Nothobranchius furzeri: one gene and its partner. The protein of the gene in region 2 binds, or shares a complex with, the protein of the main gene of each other region. Links are inferred from orthologs where the notes say so. Each region holds a gene or a part of one and is shown on either strand. Other genes may lie near its edges. The genes, in order: tradd and ngfrb.

Evidence for each region.
Region 1: the proteins of ngfrb (region 2) and tradd are in contact, whole or in part, in an NMR structure (PDB 7CSQ), measured with the Homo sapiens proteins. The link is inferred for Nothobranchius furzeri from reciprocal best matches to the Homo sapiens genes NGFR and TRADD. Residues at the interface, in NP_002498.1 of Homo sapiens: Glu345, Glu346, Glu348, Lys349, Leu350, Asn352, Gly353, Ser354, Ala355, Glu379, Ala380, Cys381, Arg384, Glu420; in NP_001310481.1 of Homo sapiens: Thr201, Phe202, Asn211, Ala275, Glu276, Arg278, Arg279, Thr281, Gln283, Arg284, Glu287.

What each region holds. Positions count from the first base shown.
Region 1 is NC_091749.1:60,146,857-60,151,261, forward strand, and holds the start of tradd (tumor necrosis factor receptor type 1-associated DEATH domain protein), read left to right. Parts: upstream 1-1,314; 5' UTR 1,315-1,402; intron 1,403-4,405. UniProt on the Homo sapiens protein: Adapter molecule for TNFRSF1A/TNFR1 that specifically associates with the cytoplasmic domain of activated TNFRSF1A/TNFR1 mediating its interaction with FADD.
Region 2 is NC_091756.1:35,452,919-35,457,207, reverse strand, and holds the start of ngfrb (nerve growth factor receptor b), read left to right. Parts: upstream 1-1,469; 5' UTR 1,470-1,611; intron 1,612-1,664; exon of another isoform or gene 1,665-1,713; 5' UTR 1,714-1,773; coding exon 1,774-1,809; intron 1,810-4,289. UniProt on the Homo sapiens protein: Low affinity receptor which can bind to NGF, BDNF, NTF3, and NTF4. Forms a heterodimeric receptor with SORCS2 that binds the precursor forms of NGF, BDNF and NTF3 with high affinity, and has much lower affinity for mature NGF and BDNF.

The DNA of each region.
Region 1 (4,405 bases), on a different chromosome or scaffold from region 2:
AATGGTGGAGGGGATGAGAAGGTTCCTCTGTGATCAGTGTGGCTTTCCTGATCACAGAGCGCTCGTGCAGAAGGGAAAGGGGGAGTTTGTAGTGAACCAATTATTTTGCCTGCTTGATCCGTTGCAGTTTATTTTTGTGCTTACAAGTGAGAAAGTTGTACCAGGATGTAATGTTAAACGTTAAAATGGATTCTATGATTGACCGTTAAGACAGTTACGATGTTTTTCCTGACATTAAAATCCCTTAATTTCCTGATGAGATGGAGGCGCTGGAGTGCCTTATTGTAAATGGAATCTGAGTGTTGTTGAAAGGACAGATGAGCATCTATCTGAGTCCCCAAATATTTAAAACTCTCCACCAATAAAAATGGCATTAAACCCATTAACCGTTAAACAAATAAATGACTCCTAATGTTCAAATTCTGGCTTAGTAAAAAAAAGTCTGGTTTTTAAAATGTGAAAATCAGTAAATCGCTATTGATATGGAAATGATTTCCCTCTTTCATATTCATTTTCTCTCCCCCTTTCCTTACATTTTTTCCTTTTCTCCTTTTAAACACACTTCTAATCATTTTTAAAATCTTTTTATACTTTAATTTATTTTTTGTTTTTATGAAGCTCTGTGTGATTTTTATCTTGAGAGGCGCTATATAAAATATCGTCGTAATGAAAAAGCATTAACATATTGTAAAAATTTGAGCTAAATGTGAAATGTCAAATACAAAAGTATGTTGAAAACGATTATTAAGTTGATGTTTAAAGCTTTCTATTGATAGCTCAATCCTCCTGTCAGAGGACGCCAGATAAACCAGAAATCACAACCCACGTTTTTTTAAATCCATCAACAATAACATGATCAACTATGTCAAAGCAGACAAATCCTAAAGCTAATTCATTTCACCATGATCTAGTTTAAGTATCAAAACCCAGAAATTGTTTTAACTTCCTCGGTATTCACCCAAAATTACATAGTTTCCTAATTTTTACATAATAAATTATTATTTTAACAGGTTATATGTAATTTATTTCTGTCAGAGCTGCATAAGACCAGAAAATGGAAACTAATTTTTAATCAGCTCACATTTTCCACATAGTGAGAAAGAGGACAAAAATAAACAGACGGTGTGGTGTTTCCAACTCCGATTATTTCAACCTGAATACATAATTCGATTTTATAATACCGGAAACTCTTCCCTCTTGTTTCTAGGAAATGTTTTCTACAAAAGATAAATGTACTGCAATGCCAAATTTACACTTCCTGTTTGTCATCAGTTAGCGCAACAATTTCCACCAATCAGAACGTAGGTTGATTTCACTCAGCCAACGGGAAGCCAGGAAGTCCCTGTCAGTGGGTGTGATTTCTAAGGAGGAAGCCTAACCGAACAAACTAAACCGTTTTAAGGTAAGTTTGTCCCAACTGTAAGTTTGACCTCACAGCAAAGCAGAAGTCCGGTTATTTAAAAGCTTCATGTGTGCGCTCGCCCGCCTTTACGCAGGAAAATAATTAACAGCGGGAAGTTTTTTGAGCTGTGACGTTTTTCGAGCACGAGCTGTGCATCTCTCCCCAAACGACACTAAGTAAAAGTTTCACACACTTAAGACACTTTTGTGTTCCATGGGGCGATTAAAAACAACAAGAAGGTTTGATCACTGCTTGGAAAAGTTACCTCTGGTGGCAGGTGACTTCTACTGAAACTGAAATCATATGTAGCTTTGCGCATGCTTTGTTGGAGGACACTAATGGTTACTGTTTTATACTTGAAACACCGATAGTTCATGTAAACAGATCACAATACCTTAAGAGTCTTAAAACATTACAATAATAATTTTTACACAACATAAACAGGTTCTGCATCCTAAAGAGACTAAATTAAAACTCTAAGAAATGATATTACAATGCAGTTAAAGTTTTAGATGTAAATCCATCAATTTTCATTCTAATAACATGCTGAAAAATAAATATCAAAGTATGACAGATAATACTAAAATAATCTGATTTCTATAATGCTATAATTAGCCTTTAAAGTATAGTGTTCCCCTAGCCTGGCAAGCTTTCTTTGCAAAGCAAGAATTTGGTCTAGTTCACAAGGCTAGTGTTCCCCCAGATCCTGGTCCTCAATCTCATATCCGGCATGTTCAAGTTGTTTCCCTGCTCCAACACATTTAATTCAATGTTTGCATTTGGCTTGCAGAAACCTGTTAATTGTCTGCTGATTAAAATCTGGTGTGCTGAAGCAAGATAAACCTCTTAAAATATGTAGGAAGGTGGCCCTTTCAGGACCAAATTGAACATTATTGCATTAAAGGGAATGTAAATAAACAACTATTCTAGTTTTATCCTGTTATGGAGTATTTCTTTTCTGGGGGGAGTGATCTCTTCCATTGCAATTATTTTCTTTGACAAATAAGGATCTTTGAGTTGTTTAAAGACAAAAATTGTGAGTTTCATAGTCTTAGTAATTAGAAATATAAAAAAGGAAGAATGCCTGGAGCAGACTGGTCCTGAAAATTCTTTAGGTGCAAACAAACAGAACTAAAGTTTTGTCGAGAAATGTCTTCTTGTCGAAACGTTAGAAATGTCTTGTCAGTTCTGTTTTTTTGCAGCTATTAAAGACTTTTCAGGACCAGTCTGCTCCAGCCATTCTTCCTTTTTTCTATGCCTATATCCCATGGGCTGTCAGAGCACCTGTGTTCCTGATCGGATGATACGCAACATGCTCGCTGATTATGTTTTAGAAATAGATTTATATTGATGCATGCCCCTTTTGGCTAAAATCAAATGAGCAATATTTTGATGAGGTTTGATGATGTTTTGGTCTCTTATATTTATGTTTGTTTCCTGATTTTAGCTCTTTTACATTTTCATAATAATAAACATTTAGTACAACTTGCACACATTACTACTTAGTCATTTTTAAAACCTGCATATGAATTTTGATGACATCCAATAGTTGTCCAGATTATTGGTTTTCAGCCTCATTTTCTGATTAAAGAATATATTTAAAGGTTATTTGGTAACAGAAATAACATGAATTAATTTGTAAAATGATTGTCTTTTTTTAAACAATTTCCCACATAAATAGTAGGAAAATACAATAGAATGGAATAAAATAGATTTTATTGATCCCACAGTGGGGAAATTCACTTTTGACAGCAGCACAGAGACAAGAGAATACATCTGAAGAAAATTCATAATAAAGGTACATGTACTGTATATACACATAGGCAGTAAGCTAGTATTGTGAACATGAGTTAGTAATTATATCAAAGATTGTGTTCTATTTAGGAACAGAGTGGCAATCAGCAGGATTAATAACACCTTTTTCCAAGTGTTTCATGACAAAATGACTGCTGTGAGAAGGCCCTTCATTAATTACCATAACAATGATTCTAGGTTGGTGTGTTTGTGTGAAGAAGTTGTTGCTACCCTGGGTTCCCCTCAGAACAGAAACTGCCCGAGGTAGCTTACTTCATGCACAAAACATCGTGCACGCTGAGTAGTACCTGGCTGGCTGGTGGAAATGCACATCCACACCCATCCACCCCAACACAAATACAGCAGCGTGCGCTCGAGCAGGCGTCCAAGCACTCTCCAGGGTTTCGCTTCACTTCTGCATATAAAGACAGAGAAAGGGCTTGATTAGGCAATACCCTGCTGATACACTCATTAACCTCACCTGGCTCTATTCCCAGGACCAATCTGCTCCACCTCTCCCCTTGCAGCTGAGACAAAACTACACCCCACTGCTCTACTGTGCCCTTCATGTTTGCTTTTATGCCTCTGCTCAGTGTGATTCACCACATTTAGGCTGTTTTTTTCACACAGTGCTTGATTTTAAGATTACAATAAGGTTGTGTTGTTACAGTCTATGAAACTTAATTCTTTTATTATGTTAAAAGGTGCATAATAGATGACATATTTGACATTTTGTCTGAGAACATATATTTTAAAAAATCATCATTTTAAGATGCTTTAAGATAATTTGTCGAGCATTAAAAAAACGTTATATATATTTATTTATTTTTAGATGATGGTGCTGCCAGTATAAAATTCAGGTTTGGTAAACACTGAATTTTTTTCTTTAAAGACAATGTGTAGGTTTTACTTTGAATCTCTGGAAAAATCCATCAAAATGTTGTTGAAAATGAATTAAATGATGACCAGTTGTTGAAAATTATTGGCAGTTTACACATAACCATAAAAACGGGTTTAAAATACATGTGAGCAAGTCTGTGGATGTTTCTCAGTGTCAAGGCACCCGGCCTCGCAAGGCGACTAACACAAAAATACTGCTTACGTACAATGATTTAGACATGTGCTCCCCCCTTATCGCCAGGAAAAATACACATTGTCACTTTATTGACATTGAAAGACATTTTCTTTTTTATACTAAATCGACTGGGT
Region 2 (4,289 bases):
ATGGATTATGTGATGAGGCCTTTTTGAGTTCCAGATTGAGACCAGCAGCAGCGAAGGCCCCGTCCCCTCTCAGCTTACGATGAGTCCTCGGTACGTCCAGGACCAGCTGGTCTCCTGACCTGAGAGACAATGATGATTGGTGTCCAGTAGCTCAAAGAGAAATGACTGAGCTAAACCACATAGTAAATTAAAAATAAATAAAACTAGTTTTAAATGAACTCTCAAATGGATCGTAAGTAAGGATAAAACAGAAGTCATGCATCCTCCTCTTCATTGCAGATAGACAAAATATAGTTTAACAACAGTCATACATAATAATGCACATTCATGCCTGCTAGCCAATGCTTTGTAAAATAATAATAAATTTATTTAAATAACAAAAGCTTCCCTCAGAACATTCTGAAATGCTATAAAATTAACCTCGGGATCTTTAGTAAGATTTTCAATGAAATTAGATCAAGTTCCTGTGCAGTAAAACCCTACAAAGGCCTACAGTGCCTAAAAAGGCACTGTATAAATGCAGGCCAGGTACCATTAGCCAAATGCATGGCTTGATATATATGCTTGCATGTTTTGATAAGCACAACCCTAACATGTTGGCTATTAAAAGACATTGCGGGCTTGTTTAGACTGTAAAGGCAGACATCCTAAAACCTGACAAAACCAAAGGCAGGGGATCTTCCAGAGAAGCCAGTGAAACAAAATCAGCCAGATGACAGCTGTTGTAGCAACGGCCCATAGCCTTCATAAAATGGTAAACTGCCATTGTATAGTGCCTTCTTAGGGTTCTACATCCCCCCAAGGCGCTTTACAACACAATCAGTAATTGTCTCACACAGACACACACACACACACACACACGCACACGCACACACACACACACACACACACACACACACACACACACACACACACACACACACACACACACACACACACACACACACACACACACACACACACTGATGATGAGCTACACAATGTAGCCACAGCTGCCCTGAGGTGTACTGACAGAGGAAAGTCTTTCCAAATGTTGCTGCCACCAGTCCCTCTGACCACCACCAGCAGGAAAGGTGGGTTAAGTGTCTTGCCAAAGAACACAACAGCAGCATTCTCTCATCTGAGCTGGGATCAAACCTGCAACCTTCCGATTACTGGACAACTCACTTTACCTCCCGAGCTACTTACTGCCCAATAAAATATTACCATACAGGAGGTTGTTGGGTTTGGTAATGTTTTTAGCCTTTGATGCATTAATTCCTTCTTTCAATCCTAGAGGCTAAGCCCCCTGTGCCTTTCAATGGCCCTGCTCTGCTATCTGTCGGGTCTAAATTCTCAAAAAAAGTTAATAAACGAGCTGTTGTGTGTGTGTGTGTGTGTGTGTGTGTGTGTGTGTGTGTGTGTGTGTGTGTGTGTGTGTGTGTGTACGCACGCGCGCTTGAAAGTGGGCGTGTTTTGGATCTCCTGAAGCCGCAGAGCTGAGAGCTTCTGCTGCGTGAGAGGTGCATGAAGTGCGCACAGAGAAACCCAAATGGGTCACTCATTTGCGTCGTTTGTTCCCACCGACTGACCGCATTCTGTGCGTTGAAACACGGGCTACCAGACTCTTGAGTGAGCGATTTTATTTATCTAATAAAAAGTATTTTCCAACTTTGTTTCTTCAGCTAAACTAAAAGTCGTAGAGATGACAGCCGTGATCTTTTCCCTTCGAAGTTGCTGAGATCCGCATCCTTCTGCATCCGATCCCCATCTGGAAATATACAAAGAAACAGGATGAAAGCAGTTTTATTCTTTCTGATGCTCGGATTGGTGAGTCTGCTTTCAACTTTCTTTAAAGAAACATTTTGGATTTGAATACGCGGAATAAGTTTGTGCGAAACGTTTCATCCTTTCAGTTTTTAACTCCTTCCACATGCCCCTTTGAAATTTGATCAGGAAATGTTTTAATAAATCACAGCAAGCATGCTGAAATCTATACATTTGGATGTTTTGATGGATTTTTAGAGACATTTAAGACTTTCTTGGCACGTGCACCTGTCCCCTTGCAGCAACCATTCATGTTGACCACGTTATCGTTGCTGGAGCTACAGTCCAGCCGGCTCAGTTACGTTTTTGCCTGCAGAGAGCAGGACAACGACGTGCGCTCACGTCCACAAAAACAAACCTAATAAATGTCTCATTATGAATTAGTTAGTAAAAACTCAGCATCGCTCAAGGAGCTCTGCACTTTGTTCAGATCCACATGACATTACAGAAGGAAAACAAACCGCACGGACGCACGAGCCGCAGCAGGAGCAGAATATTAAACACGCGCACCCAGAAGGAAACAACGAGTGAGGCAGGAGCAGTGTCATGGCACGGCAGCAGAAAGAGCAGGAATCTCTTCAGAGTTTATAGTTTGCTGATTGTTTCCTTGTTCGACGTCCAGACCAAACTTCTCAGCGCGAGACAGCTCAGTCACAGTCTGGTTTAGGAGCTGCATCACCAGTAAATGACAGCTGCTTCCCCTGATGGTTATGCATCCTCTGCTGGCTCAGCACATGCAATATTGATAGATCCTGAACCCTTCCCCACTCCTCTTCATCCTCATCCACCCTTGCTCTTTTCCTCACATCCTAAAGATATATTTTTGTACACCAATTTTCCAGCTTTTGTGACTAAAAGTTATAAATAGTCACCACCTGTTTAGTTCCCTGAATATCCTCCGGTCAGAAACATAGTGTTTAGTTCCTTTAGGCCTGGTGAGCTAGCAGCTGGTCTGATCAGCCAAGACAAATGTGTGTTAGTTTGATGCCATCTTGACATCTCTATAATTGGAGAGTTGTTTGGAGACTTTTATGCCGTCATCAGTTTTCAGGATCAGACACATGACATTATATGGTAAGTGTCTGGCGTATCGTTAGTTATCAGTGTAAATATTACCAACATAACCGTTGCACAAACTGCTATAAGAATTTGAAGCAATTAAAAAAATGTATATATATTTTTAAACTTTAAGCTAGAGCTTAAACATTGATCTCAGTGATTGCTGGGTTACAAACTTGACCAGTTTCATATTTGACATCAGTCTGCAGCCCTCTGTTGACCAAAAGCTGCACTAGATGGTTTTGTGGAGCTGGTAGGTGTTCTAGGGGGCGTTCTTCATGGCTGTTATCTGTAATGCTAGTGGTTAGCATTTTCAGTTTGCTGATCGTCAATAAAAAGCACAAGAAGAAGAAAAAGAAGAAGTTTGCCTTTTCTGGTAGCATCATGGCGGAGCCTGGAAGTAAAAGTAAGAGAGTAATGTCTGGAGATGAAGCAAAAAGCTAAAACCAGAGCGAACATCGGCATGGCCTACACTAGTTTGAGGAAGCTAAAGGAGGCTACTGAATCACGGACTGATATTGACCTGGCTTTGTTGCTACTGGACTTGTGTGTAATAATATTTTATATCAAACAGTGTGGCTCTTTTCACTTTGTGGTTTATTTTAGTATTAGTTGGCTCATGTTAGTATTAGCTCGTGTTTAGCGCCAGCTACAGCAGGTTGCAGCAGGTATGTTCATGACAGTTATAATTTTACTTTCAACCAGTAGGGCCGAGGAGCAGGACACTGCTCTGTGATACTTTGAGATGACAACACGTGTTGAAACTGGGTACAATTGGACCCTTTTGACAAGATAAAAATGGCTTGAACTTTATAGGCAACTCCAAAACAGACTGTTGGCATCTTAAAACAGCTCCAGCCTTCTAAGATTCACAGCGGCCAATAAAAACATACTTTTATTAATCATTACACTACCAACAATTTAACACCACACTATTCATTAGGCCAGTGGTTCCCAAACTTATTTAGCCGTGCACCCCCTTCTATGTCCCGACCATGTCGACGCACACCCCAGCCCCCACAGCAGGGCATGGATATATAAATATATATATATATATATATATATATATATATATATATATATATATATATATATGTGTGTGTATATCAGACGTCAAGCTAAACAGACAGGGTTAAAGAATATGATCGACCTTTTTCCCATCACTTTCATTTTTTAAATAGTAATTAATAAGCATTTGATACCATTACAATTTCCTTTGATTTAATTTTAAATAAATATTTAGAGTGCCCAGGTAGCACATAAACAATGCAATTTAACGGTTTTCTTAAAGTAGGAACGTTTAACCTGTGTGGCCAGAGCTCTCTCCTTCCTTCTGCTCTGCGTAAACCTGAGCTGATCACCTACTTGTGCGTGATCAAATGTCTATAGGGGAAAAGATGGAAAAGATATTTTGCCTCAGACCG